Linked DNA regions of Rhinolophus ferrumequinum. The protein of the gene in region 1 interacts with the protein of each later gene in a biochemical or structural test. Links are inferred from orthologs where the notes say so. Each region holds a gene or a part of one and is shown on either strand. Other genes may lie near its edges.

Region 1 (7,237 bases):
TAAATCCAAAAGGGCGGAAATCCGGGACTTGACTCTTATTTCTTTGACTCAGTGAGGGAACAAAACCTATTCACAAAACCTATTTACCAGTTCTAGCTGTAGGGCCAGTCAAAGGCTCTAATTCCCCAGTGAGAACCGGTTCCACCCCACAGCCTGAAACCTGACCTGTCTGTGAATATGGCTGCCAGCCGGCCAGTCACTGCTCGTTCCCAATGATGCCGCGACCAACACAGAGGCTGCACTGCAATCAGGGCCCTGGTTGGCACCTTGGCTCTGCCACTAACTTAGAGTGTGCCCCAGCAATGATGATCACACCAGTGAAAAATCACAATGGCTAACGATTATGGACACTTACTGTCTGGCAGGTACCAGGGCACATGTTTCATAACACAACACAACAACCTCCCAACACAGCGTCAGAATCCACTGAGTTCAGGGACATCAAGTCTACAGGGCTCTACCCTCACTAAGGGATGGAGTTGGCAGGCTTGAGATTATTGTACTCGGGTAGTTTATAGAAATACGAGCCGCTAATATTAGGTCATCAATAATCACAGCCAATCGGTGGTACTTCCGCCTCTTTATCTAAAAGAAAAATATGGAATACCGAGGGCAGATATTCTTCATTTAATTCTACTTTTAGAGCTTCTTCTGCTCTAAAGTTCAGTGGCTCTGGGGAGTTCATCTCATCTTTCCTATCATTTCACCGGGGTCCTGGGTGAGTCACAGTCTCTAGCTTCCCCTCTCTGGGCCTCATTTTCCTTCGTAAAATGAAGACGATGGACTGAAACAGGTTTTCAATATGCAGTTTCCAATCCAGTGGCATTAGAATCCCCTGGGAACTTGTTAACAATACCAATTCTAGGCCTCCACCCCACACCTGTAGAGTCAGAAGCTCTGGGGGTGGGGCCCAGCCTGCGGTGCTTTAATAAGATCTCCAGGGGATTCAGAGGAGAACTTTAGGTTAGAAGAGCCCCGGGGTAAGGACCCTTCCAGCAGTGAAACTTGGTTTGTGCTCTAATGTATTATGATTTAGTAGCATTCTCTTTGGACAGAGTATTTCTTACCCAAGGCAGGCAACCCTTTCAGGGTAAAAAGAGAAGCTGTTTTCTTTGACCATCTGAGGCCCAGAGTTCAGGTGAGCTTTTCAAGAAAGCCTCAGGTATTTATAGGCTGACTTAGAAGGGCAGAGTTTTGTTTTAAGTAGTTAAGTCTCAAACTTGGCATGTGATGAAAGCAGTGGTATCTGTAGCTGAAGAAAGAAAGATGAAAGGAGAGCTACCTTCTTTTCAGCTCTAAAACAATGACCCGGGTGTGTGTGTGTGTGTGTGTGTGTGTGTGTGTGGTGTGGGGGAGCCGCAGGGGGTGGGTGTTGGTGGTCCTGAGAGGACAGCTTCCCCTCTTGGGTCCAGGAGCTTCCTGGTGATTTGTAAATCCTCTACGGCCACACCCCTGTTGGAGAGATTTGATTACAAAACCTCAGAAGAGCCACAAACAGCCACGGTGACAATTACAACACAGAGCTGGGCTGACAGACTTAAGTTAGGCTTGGCTTCCAAGACATTTAAGAATGGAAAGAATGTCTTATTTAAAAGATCCAATTTTCCCAACCTGGGTTTCAGGCTTTAAACTATCAAAAAAGATGAAGAGAGGATTTCACAGTACTGCCTGCGGTTTCCTCATGAAAGACGGAGACAAAGCCAGACTCCCTGGAGAAGTGTGAGCTGTTTGGGAGGGCCCGTGGGTCCTCCCGTGGTGCAGGCAGGACTGAGTACCTATGAGAGCTACGACCTCGCCGTTTGCAGGGACTCCCGAGCCTCCCTTGGTGGCATCTCAGTAACACTGACAATAAATATTACCACTGTCTTTTATAGAACATTGGCAGGCACTGTTCTAAGTACTTTACATTTATTAATGAGTTTAATCTTCACAACAACCCCACGGAGGTAGGGACCTTTATTATCCGCTAATTACAGGGAAGGAAACATCGGCACAGAGAGGCAGCGTCACTGAACTAGTACGTGTCCCGTCAACAGGGGGTAAGAGAGTCAGGAGACCTGGGCTCTGAGTAAGCCTGTGTCTCTGGCCAGAGTGCTGGGCTGTCCGAGCTACTGAGAAATAAAGGAGGCCCCATCAGGTGGTTTCTAAGATCACTGCAGCTCGGAGCGCCGGCAACTCTATGCGGGAGAGCTGACGCTGGTGGCTGAGGACTGCCAGAGAAGAGCTGCCCAGACGCCCAGCTCTGATCCTGGGAGAATGAACTTCTAGCCCTTCTCAGGTATCCGTATCCGGAAAGCCTGGCAACTCAGGAAGGAGACGGCAAGAGCCCAGGCTGCGCGACCCCAGCTGGGAACGCGCAGAGGTAAAAAATGGAACACCCCAAGGACTGCGAAAGCTGGCAGTCCCTTTAACCGTCTAAACTTTCTCCCTGTATTCGCGACCCCAGCAGCCGCGCATTGGCTGAGCCGCGGGCGGACCCGCCCTCTCTCTTTGTCTATTGGCTGTGACAGGTATCCATCACAATCCGAGGCTCCCTAATGGACCAAGGCTTTTGTCAATCAAGATGGGCGGGAGACTGGGCGGGGCCAAGTCTCGGAGAGACGCGCCAGGCGCGTTCCCCTTCCCTGCCTCCCTCCGGTGTGTGACTGGGGACGTGGGTGAGCCCCGCGGGGACCGAGGCCGGGCGCGAAGCCCTGCGTCGGGGTTGGCCGAGACTCCAGGGACTCACCGATGCGCTGTCCCACCGGAGAGCTGAATGGGTTCCCCAGGAGAAAGTCCATCGTTGCGGCTGCCGCTGCCACCAACCCGTGGAATCAGCTGACAGCAACCGCCAGCGCCTTCGACCCGTCACGTGACGCGCCGGATGGTCCGCGAGGTGGCGCCGGTGGGGGCAGGGCGGAGGGAGTCTGGAGCGTGGCCACAGGCCCCGCCCCTGAGAAGGAGGGTCGGGATCACTGAGAAGGAGGGCGGTGACCTCACTGCGGCTTACTCGGTGTCGGCGGACGTCACGCACAGCGTAGCGCGGTAAAGAGCTTGGACCTTTAAGCCACGCCCTCGACGTTTTCTAAGGTTTAGGGGCGTGGCCTAGTGATCTCTTAACACACCGGGAAAACCGGGTCCCAGACCAGAGAAATGACTTGGGGAAGGTTGCAGAGCAAGCCCAGACTACAGTTCTCACTCTTACGTGTTTTAGCTCTTGGGACCTCACCTTCCGCTGGGGTTGACGCCTCTTTGGCCGGTTGTCTCCTTGCCTTGGTAGAACTCTTCCTATCTGAGGTCGAGGTCCAGGGGTTTGAGATCCTTTGACAGAGAGACAACTCAATGAATTCCAACTTGGGACGGGCTAGAGCCCAGGGTGGTAGAAAGCACACAGATGTAGCCACGAGCAGGGCACGTCTCTGCCATTTACTGTGTGATTCAAGCAGTGAGTTTCCATTTTTCTCTGGATGCTGGAATTAGATCGAGGACTCTGATTTTTTTAGGTCACAGGCTCCTTTGAGAATTTGAAGCCATGAGCCTTTCTGAAGAGAAAAGGCAGAGACACAATTTAACTTCAGGGAGTTTCTGGGGTCGCCGAAGTACAGCTGTGGACCTCAAGAATTAAGATTCCAAAGGCCTTCCCCAGCTTTGTGATTCTAGTATCTCCTTAAACCTTCCTGTCCTGCCATGTTTCAGATGTTGCCTGCACATTAGATCTGACCTATTGGTTGTTTTTTTTCTTCTGACACGCACACCAGAAGATACAATAACCACTGCTTTGGTAGTTAGTGGCTTTAGTATTTACTGACCACGATGTTTGTGATTCTTAAATTTGAAAGCCTATTAAATTGTGCACAAATTTAGGATGGAAAACCTAAATTAGAACTTAATCACTTCTGTGTGTTAACGTGTTTAACAGATGTCAACCTGTTTGAGGGCTGACATCTTTAATGCACAATATAAAAACTTTATGGGAGTCACGTACTCCTGTGCTTTGAAGTGTTTTAATAATGCCCATCCTTTTAATAAATGCCCTCCCCCCCACTAGTCTAGATGCTCCATGAGGGCTGGGATACTATGTCTCCTTTCCTCACCACTATTGTCTAGCACAATGACTAACAAGAAAATTTAAATCATCTACCTTTCAATAATGGTATTTGGACTATGGGAGGGGGGCACGTACCTTTAAGATGAACGTCATGTCAGGTAACATACATATTTTTCTTCCTTTAAGAATATTGCTTGGTTGTATGGCGTATATTTAGCATGAACTTCCTTTGGCTTCTTCCATTATTTTGGGTGGTGATTTACCAGAAGTTCCTGCTTTCCTGCATCACTCTGGTTTAAAGTGATTATGGGCAAAAGATCTTGGCTTTACTGCCAAGAATAAAACCACTGTAAGTTTTATCCTTCATAGTAAAAAAGCAGAAACAACCCACATACCCCCCAAGCGGAGTAAAATCATCTTAACTCCATGCAAACAGAATACTGTGTATCTATTCAGTTAGAAATGGAAGTGTGTGGATTTTGTCAACACAAACGATAGGAATATAAATGGAAAATATTTAGTACAAAACTGATTAAAAGTATGTTTAAAAATTTTTTGCAAGGAACAGTCATTTAGTAAAAAATCCATTTTAATTTTACCTTTTAAGTGTTTTATGAATATCAAATGCCTTCCTTTTACCTTCAAAGGGAAAAATGCTTACGTCCCTTAAGACTGACATATTGCTTAAATGCAATGTCATCTATCATATCCAGTAAGTGCTACTAGACAAAAATCAAGATACTTTGCCAATAAAGTTTAAAGACAATAGTATGACAAGAAAGTGAGGCCTCTATCGTAAAATCCACCTAGGACAAAAGGGCATTTGAACAAAGAAACAGTCTCAGATAGTTTTCCTACAATCACTCAGTACTGTAGATAACGGAGGATTCTGATGGATTACATAAGTGGCTTTGGGTAGAAGAGAGCCTAGGCTTTGGGGTCAGTTTGAACAGTGTGCTTATTCTGGCGCTACCGTCTACTACTAGCTGTATAACCTTAGGGAAAGTACTTTTCTGCATCTTTATTTGTAAAGGGGGATAATACTCAAAAGGCTTTTGGGAGGATTAAGTGAGAGAAAATATGCAAGTCATTCTCTATAATAGTATTCAGCAATATGGTGATGTCTTTCTTGCTGCCTCTCTGTACGTTAGCCTTTCAATCATAATATTTCACTTTATGACTAGTAACACCTTGTTTGCATTGAAATTTTTACCTTGAAAAAGGTCAAATTTCCATATATTAAATGTTCACAATAGTTCTAAACATTCATGTCAGGTTGGCTGGCTGCTGGCTTGGAGACAAGGAAGTGACATGAACACTCTTTTACAGATGTGACTTAGGACACCTATAAAGATTACGTGACTTATCCAATACCACCAAGTTAGGACAGTGCTGAAACTGTGTGAAATATATCACATTAAGTACATGATTCAGATGTGAACCTTACAGATGAATATTTTCTTGAGCTAGGCGAACACTGTAATGTACATACTATTTTATTTGCCAGTGAACAGAACTACACTTTATCAGAGTCACTGGGCTTGCAATCTGCGAAAGAGAGAACATGAGAGATTCCACAACGTCAGAGTTAATATTAATAGAAACAGAGGAAGGTGTATGTTAGGAAAATGGCTAAGATCAGAAACTTGACCTCTATTCTAGATGGGTTTTTTCTTTTTAAGATAATTATGGTAGGATATAGTGTGGAAAACAGGTTTTACAATTTTGGAGCAACTTTGGTTGGCAGCAGGGAAAAGATAGCTGAGACTGGACTACAAATATTAAAAATGTGATTTTTAATAATATAAGTACAAAATTTTATTTCTTTATACAACTGTAATGGAGTTTGGATCAAACCGCTAGAATTTATTTAAAAAACAAAATAAAACAATGATATAAAAACTGCAAGGTCTGAATCCAAAGTTTTTCCTCTAATAGTACCAAATACCACAAGATACAGATTATTATACAAATGTGTACAAATTTTAAATACAAATACAATAGGATTGGATTTTAAAGGAAAACAAACAAAAAACAGGTCCTCATCAGGATTTCATTAATGTGTTCAAATGACAATGGTAGGACTGGCCTTCTTTCCGTATTAATCCATGTCTCCAAGGCCCCTCCTTCACACCCTGTGTCAAACAGGAAACTTCCAGGGGTACAGATGAGGCGTGGTACAAGTTCTAACACACGAAATCAAAACAAGATTTCTGTTTTTCTTGATTTTGGTTCCCAGACATTCTTGTTTCCTTCTGTTTCCCCCATTAAAACTCAGAACTGCTCTGAGCTGAGAAAGGCATTTAGCAGCAAGAATACCTTTAGGAAACAGCCCGGTGACCCCACCGGTCGGGAGAAGGGAAGGAGTTAAGTAAGATGCAGCGTAGCTGCCCTGTCCGCAATGATCCACCTCGATGCTGTGGAGCTCCATCCAGGCCCCAGGAAGGAAGCACAGTTACCTCAGAGCTGGGTGTTGGCAGGGAATCTCACACCACATTTAAAAACAACCCTGAAGCGCTCAACTGTCTTCTTTGGGACTAGGAAGCAAAAGTCTGGTTCTTTGGAAATACGGGCAGCTGGGAAGGGAAACATTCCATTTTATTTTACTTTCTTGACATTATTGAATTATAAGGAATTAGAATCCTTACATAATGATACCTTGTTGAGGCATGATACCTTAAAATGCAGATGGGAGTTTTCAGAGGAGGCCAGAGGAAGGAAGGGGGGAAGAAATTAACAAGTCTGTATCTTCCACATGCTGTTGCTGGTGGAGGCTTTTGTTATTAAATTATATGTACAGAAATTTACAGGATAAATTAAAATCTAAGATTTTAAAGAGTTAAATACACATAATTAAAACACACATTCACACACGCGCATAAATAAACCTACGTGAGAATCGAGTACTATTTTTTGCAATTCACTCATGTGTGGTATGTAGAACACGGTGTATCTGCCCCCCAGGGGAGCCAATGAGATGGACCCAAGAATCCCGCCGGGCGAAGTTCATCATCCACAGCCACCAAGCAACTAGCAGCGGGACCTGTGAAGACTTGGCGGCTAAGCGAATGCTGCCAATGGAAGATACCAGCTCTTCGTTCTGCAGACCAAAGATTCTGGGTCAACTCACAATATATGCAGTTCAACTGGTGGCACTGACAGCTTTGCCGTCTCCAAGGTGTTTTATGTTGCCAGGGCTCACAAAACTCC
Region 2 (7,140 bases), on another chromosome or scaffold:
AAGGGTTGTCATTAGAAAACTACGAGCATTGTTAAAAAGTGGGGCAAACAGCACAGGGCTGGGCCATCCTCAGACTATTAAGGGAAAACGTGACCCTGGAGATACAAACAGCACGTCTGCTGAACCTTAGGCAGAGAAGCCCATCAGCTGCTGCGGGGAGAAAGCAGGACAGAAGGCGTGAGGCCGGCTCAGCGTGGGCGGCACCTTTTCTCACACGCCATCTCACCCACCCCTCAGGCGCCCCACGGGCAGCAAGCATGGACAAGGGCCACCTCAGCCTCCCTCCCTGGTGACTCCCCTTTCTCACTCACAGTCCCACGGACTCTGCCTGTCACTCCTTTATCGCGGGAGCAGGAGTGGGAGGCAAGGTCAGGCTTCCGAGCCAGCCCCAGTGAGTGAGTCCAGGCTCTGGGCAGCCTGTGCCAGGGCTGACCCCATCCTGTTCAGGCAGGGACACGGCCCTAGGGCACAGGGCTCCCTCAGGACTGCTGCCCAGCCAGGACCCAGGGCAGTGAGCACAGCCAAATGCTACCTTTACCAGCACCAGCTGGTACTGCAGCTTCTTGACCCGTCTACCTGCACGGCACCCAGCATACAGGGACGCAGGGCCCAGACAGGATGGAGTCCATGCACCCTGGCTACCAGGGAGGTCTCCGCGAGGATGCGTGCCAGGCAAAAATGTTGTTAAAAAAAGTAACACTGTAGTGAGCAGATAAAACTCCAGAGCAAACCCATCTGCCAGCCCAGGCCTCCCATGTGGAACAGCGCCCGGCCCCGCCTGTCCCTCTCTCACAGTGGCACAGGCCCTGCCCTCAGGACCCTTCTTGGCCTTCCGCAGCCCGCCACACCCCACCTCGTCTAACAAGTCCTGCTCATTCCTGTCTCAGGTCCCTCCAAGAACTTTACCCACCCCAACTCCCGGCCCAGGACCGGCCACTGTTTATACCTAAGTTAAGACCCACAGAGCTGACGGCGACCATCCCCGCCGCGCTCGTCTGCCTGCTTATGCGTGCCAGTGGTTCCCCATGCCACACTGTAAGACCCCCCACCCCCTCCCTGGCAGGCACTGCACCTGCTCGTCCCAAATGTCATGATCAGCAACACTGGCTGAGTAAGTCACGTGTATTCCAGGGGCACTCAAGACCCTTGCCCCTGAGGACACCTTCCTGGAGGCCCCCAGCAGCCGGGCCCAGATCTAACGTTACTGTGTTTACAGGCCATGGAGAGCACCCCGAAAACATCTGCAGGTCTATGTGCGCTGCACACCAACACATGGACATAAGGCCACTCGCCTGTTACAGAGAACAGGCCGGGAAGCACGGTACACATGGCAAGAGGGACAGAACCTCTGACGGCCCAGGCCCCACGTGCGGGACGGGAACGCCCGACCCCGCAGCTGCTGTCCCGTGGTGCCAGCTGCCCCAGCTCTGTGCAGTCCCCGCGCCGACCGCTGCTCCGCACAGGGGGGCCGACCCTTACTGAGAGCGCACTTCTGGCCACTGCGCCCCGCACCGCACGTTCACACTCACCACCAGCGAGGTCCGCACCAGGTGGGTGAGGACACGGGACAGGTCAGGCCCCCTGCGCCCACTGCTCCCTGGGGGACGCGGAGAAGGGAGCGGCTCGTTTGGTTCCCTTGCTTCTCTGACCAGCCGGCTGTGCAGCAATGAGAACCGGCTGGCTGTCAGCCCGCCGTAAGTCACTGTGGAGGGAGGACGGGGAGAGGGGAACCGTCCCTCTGCTCAAAGGCAGAGGGAATCCGGAAACCTCTCTGCCGCCTGGGGGCCGGTTCCAGAGAAACCCGGTGTGTGTGTCACGTCCAACGCAAAGCCCTCAGGACTTCTAACAGAACCTGGGTCTTCGTCACTCAGAAAAGATACTCTCTGGAAAAGATTCTCCTCTAGTCAGGACAACCGCCACCAGCGTTTGTCAACATCCCGTCCTAGGGCCGAGGGGCAGGCGCGGGCGACTGGGCTTTACAGGCAGAGCGACTGAGTGAGGGCAACGGTGGCATCACGGGACAACGTTCCCCACGTAAAGGGAACGTCTGTCTACTGCACATTTTGAGCCGCTGCCCATAAAAACTTCCCGGCGCGTGACAACGCGCCCCCACCCCGCCTGCCAGAGCTGCGCGCGGCCCCGTCCCAGGGCGCGTCTACACCGGCTCTCCAGGGCAGCGCGCGGGCCGTGGAGACCGACGGGAGCCCCGGAGACAGCGCGGGTGGGAAGGGCCGCCCGCGGTCCTGAGCTCCCGTCCTCTCGTTTGCAAAGGAAGGAACTGAGGCTGCGATAAGTGGCCACTTAGGGACACAGCTGGGCCCGGGGGCCTCCCTCTGCCCCCGCGAGGGAGGGGAAGCGGGCGGAGTCCGTGGCTCGGGGCCTCCTCCGTGGGGGACGGTCTAGGCCCGGGGCGGGGGCGCTCTCCATTTGGGGAACCGGCCCCGGCGAGGGTCCGTCCCCATCCGGGGACCCGCCCCTGGCGCAGGAGCCTCCTCCATCCGGGACCCACCAGGGCGCGGGGGCCGCTTCCATCCGGGGTACCGACTAGGACTTCGGGAGACTCCTGTGCCGGGGAGGCCACAGGGCGCAGGAGACGCCTCCGTTCGGCGGACCGGCCCTGGCGGGGCGTCCTCCACCCGAGGGACCTTCCGGGCCTGGGGGCTTCCTCCCTCCCGGGGGCCCACCCTGGTGAGGGCCTCCTGCACCGGGGGGCCGCACCCCGGAGCCCGGAGCCCGTGGTCGGGCCTCCCCGAGAGCCCCGGAGGCCACGGACGCGCACCGCCGCCCGCGCCCTGAGGGGAGAGCCCGCCCGCCCGCCGTCCGCCCGGGGTCTCACCGGCCCGCGCTGCGTGCTGACGGTGGTCGCCATGGTGCTGCGCCGGCCCGCGCCTCGCCCAACGAGAGCTGACGTGCCGGCGACCCTCCGCCGGAGCCTGCGACGCCGACGGTTGTCCCCAGCGAGGCCGCCGCCGCCGCCGCCACAGTCAGCTGACGGCCACCCCGCCCCGCGCCGCGCACTGCGCAGGCGCCGCGCAGCCCCGCCCCTTCCGGCGCCGCGCACGCACGCACGCGCCGTGCCGGCGGACGCCTGCGCAGTTGCTCCCCGCCGCGGCCGCCCGAAATGGCTCCGGAGTGCGCGGTGGGCATCCTAGGCGGTCCCGCGGCAGGTGCGCAGGCTGAGCGGCCCCCCGACCGCACGGACTGTGGGGTCTGCTGAGCGGGTCTCCTGGCGGCGCCGGGAAGCCTCAGTGGCCCTCCCCACCCTGGGCCTTCGGCTGGACCCGGGCGCAGGGACAGTAAACGCAACCAGCCCCAAATGAGCCTGTCCTGGTGCTAACAAGACACTGAGTTGCCTTTCAGGGACAGGAGACCAAACCGCAAGACGTGCCACCCAGGCGTGGGCAGAGGAGAGACCTTTGACCTCCAGCTGCACCCCGACAGATCTGAGTGGGACCTCCGGTGTCCTGCGAGCCGACTGAGCGTTCAGTCACTGCTCTTTCTCTTCGCAAAAGCCAGTGCCATGGTAGCGGCCCCTGTGTGAGTCGGGCAGCAAAGCTGTTACGTAACAACAGGGGGGCCTTACCCGGGAGTCATCAGGGAGGAGGGCCTGCTGCTGGGAGGGGGGGCCTGGGGGCGCCAGTGACCCTCCCTCCACCGAGGGCCTCTGGTCACGATGACAGACCACTGAGCGGGGCCAGGGGCAGCGCCAGGCTCTTGGAGGAGATTCTGTACCTTGGTATCAACGAGCAGAGAAGGAGGGTCCCGATACCAGCCACGGATGGACAGCCTCCTGCCAATGTGCAAGCCTCCCCGGTGAGGGGGATTGTGGATTGAGGGGCCAGAGAACGAAAGCCCTTGATTGACCCAAAATCCTCCGGGGGGAGGAGCACTTGCATGTATACTTTGTAAAAGTGGGAGTCAAGCTAAAGGAGAGGTGACTGTGGGCTGCCGTGCTTCACAGGCCTCGGGAAGATGGGTGTTCAGGGCAGGAGAAACAAGGCCCCGTGCACGACCTTATCTTCATGGGTGATGTCGTCTAAGTCTTTAGTGAAGCAAGGACTGAAGCGTTACCTACCAATGCCCCTTGTTAGGGGAAATGACCGAAAAAACAGAAGCTATGTCTGCAGCTTCTCCATCTTCTGTACTTGTGATGAGGCCCAGGTTGACGATCGTAGCTTCCTTCTTCCACCACTCGTTCCAGGTTCCCCTCCGTAGAGACTTATTTTCCATCAGAGAAGGAAGTGCAAAAGGCCTGCCTTCTGCTGGTCCTTCTGTTTTGTTGAACATAAGCAGTTTCACAAAACATCAGAGCAGTCGGGGCCACTGTGACCACAGTGCATCAATACAAAGCCATGATGGCTCCTTGGTCATGTGTGAACACAGACGACATGACAGCCTCCACGCCAAAAGACTAACATCTCCTTTCCTGGCTGGTATGGCTGTTGCTGCTTACCAACTCCAGCTTGAGCCTTCCCCTAGTCTTCCCTCCTAGGTAAGAATGAAGAAGGCTACCCCTGCTTCTGACAGCACCTGATCCAGAGCAGAACCCTGCTTGCTCAAAGCTCCCCCATAATCACTGACAGAAGCCCAGATCCTTTCTAATGCCCTCTGACACGTCACCCTGTGCTTCCCTGCGGTGTGTGCTGTCCTTTGCTGCAATGAGTGACAGTCCCACCCTGTTGAGTTACAGGTGTGTTCCCGGTGGTCTGACGGGACAGCATTGACACACCCAAGGCTTGAATTGTCCTTTTCCTCTGTGTCCACTTCCCAGAGTCTTCTGAAGTAAACAGCCCACGGCACAATCTGTGTCATCACCATTTTGCCAAAGCAGCTCAGTGTCTCAGCCTCTTGACCTCCCATCTGTCCGCCCTCCACATGCGCCACGTCCCAGGCCACCGCTGGAGATCATTTGAGGGATTGGGATACCACTGCATGACACAGATCCCCAGGGCTCGACTTCCCTCTGGCAAGGATTTTATCCACATGCTCATCAAATATATAAGCAACCCAATTCTAGAATCCTATTAGGAGAGTCGGTTTCTGGGGACACTTATGGTGGCAATTACTGTATCAGTCAGGGTCCCAGCAAGAAACAGATGGCATGCTCAGAAAGATAATTGGAGGAATTTTAATAAACGGACTGTTTATAAGGGAAGGGCAGAGTTAAGTGAACAAGCAAGACACTGAAGCGTGGAGGAAATTTGAGCTTCAGGAAGCCACTACCACTCCTGGTCTTAAAAGGACAGAGAGGCAGCAGTAGCCAGGAAAAGGCATCCTGGGCTGACGTGTGGGCCATGCAGAGGGAGGAGGCCACCTGCCAAACCGCAGGCTTGCAGGTGGGGTCTGAGGAAGAGGCATTCCGACCTGTCTCCTCCTACAGTGTCTCCCCTGAACACAGCCCAGTGGTGCAGCCTGTAGACGTCAGCTCCTCGGGGCACAGAGAGAGGCAGAGAAAGGTGGAGCGTGGACCTGGGAGGGAGGGCAAATGGAGACACTTCTGCACATGCATCTAGTTACCAGCAATAACCAAAGGATTCAGTTTTGTAAAATACCATTGAAAAGAGCAACGAAAGAATAGAAGGGACACAAAACTTCTTAAAAAGTGAGCAAAAGTGTTAACGTTATAAAACGTTATTGAAGGAGACCTGAATAAAATGAGAACTACATACCGTATTCATGGACAGGACGTCTCAGATCTGTCACTTCTCCCCCAAATTGTCCTACAGAAGAAATTTTCATTAAAACTCCAAAAGGGTTTTTCGAAGAAATTTAACAAGCTGATTCTGAAATGAATGCGAAAGAACAAAACAATAACTGACACATTCTAGAAGGAGGAGGAGGAGATGGAAAGGAACTGTCGTAGGAGAAATAAAAATGTCTTATGAGACTACAGTAATTGAGACTGATACTGACATGGGGATAGACAAATTTACCAGTGAGATGAAATACAGATACTTGATTTATGAGGGTGCTGGCACTGCCGAGCAGTTGGGACAGGAATTACTTTCAATCAATGGGCTAAAACAATTGGCTACACTTACAGAAAAACTTAAATCAGACCCCTACCTTAACACCAAACAAAAAAGCAATTTCTGATGGAATTGATCCAATCAATACTTGATGAATTCAATAATCTATGCCATGTTTGGAAAGGATACAGCCAAGAAAAGCTGTCACCGCCCTCTCTGATCTGTTGAGAAGCACTGAGCAGGAGTTGAGGAGTTGGGAGGTAACAGGTATGATGACGAGAGCCGCTCGGTGAGCCAAGCGCAGGATAAAGGTGTTCTACATACCAGGGCGACCTGACACTCGGGGCACTGACCAAATATCCCTGAGAAAGGCAGAGGGAGCTGGTGAGAAAATGGGAGTTAGGTGGGCCAGAGAAGGGGGTTTCAAACCTAGAGTGGGCGTTGGGGCCACCGCAAGGTGTAACAATGAGCCGACACCACGGAGCTTTGAGGACGAACCGTATGGCCACAGAGCTGGGCAGAGAAGACACGTTTGGCAGGAGAATTAAAGAAGAAACAATGCTGGAGGCCAGGGGTCCAGCCCAGTGTATTTCTGCTGAGAGTCGACTATAAAGGGAACCCTAACTTCAACACTGGTTCCTCCAACTCATTGCCTACATTCTCTGAGACCCGGTGCCAACATTCAGACACCCAACCCTGTGTGTCACCTGAGTGATGTCACCACTTGTGCAGTCATCACCGAGTCCAGTCCATTTCCACGTTGTTATGGGAGTCCCACTGCCCTCACCCTTCCTGTGTCTGGGCTCCAGCTCATAATGGCACAGGCCAGTGGTCACGGAGCACCCTACGCACCCAGAGCCCTGGATGGGCATTCTGTGCACCTGTTACTTGGGGTCCTTGAATAATAGTTGACATGAGCCACATGTCTGAGTGCTTCATCTTGCCGGGTGTCATTGTAAGTGCTTTACACATACTGTGTCATTTAAGTCACACTACTATCCAATGGCAGCCGAGCTTCTGTTGCCTACGTTAGAGACGGAGGTAACAGAGGGGAAGGGTGAAACACTTACCACGTCTAACACCAGGTAATCGGTACCCACGACATAAACGCTTCCCACAAGTCACGAGGAAAGAGGAAACCAGACAGACGAGTGAACAGATGTTTAAGTTG

Evidence for each region.
Region 2: the proteins of TOM1 (region 1) and TOLLIP form a complex in vitro, tested with the Homo sapiens proteins (3 studies listed by BioGRID and IntAct, with this or other methods). The link is inferred for Rhinolophus ferrumequinum from reciprocal best matches to the Homo sapiens genes TOM1 and TOLLIP.

What each region holds. Positions count from the first base shown.
Region 1 is NC_046293.1:11,036,241-11,043,477, forward strand, and holds the start of TOM1 (target of Myb1 membrane trafficking protein), read right to left. Parts: upstream 3,002-7,237; 5' UTR 2,781-3,001; coding exon 2,729-2,780; intron 1-2,728.
Region 2 is NC_046294.1:836,201-843,340, forward strand, and holds the start of TOLLIP (toll-interacting protein), read right to left. Parts: upstream 3,008-7,140; 5' UTR 2,870-3,007; coding exon 2,837-2,869; intron 1-2,836. UniProt on the Homo sapiens protein: Component of the signaling pathway of IL-1 and Toll-like receptors. Inhibits cell activation by microbial products. Recruits IRAK1 to the IL-1 receptor complex. Inhibits IRAK1 phosphorylation and kinase activity.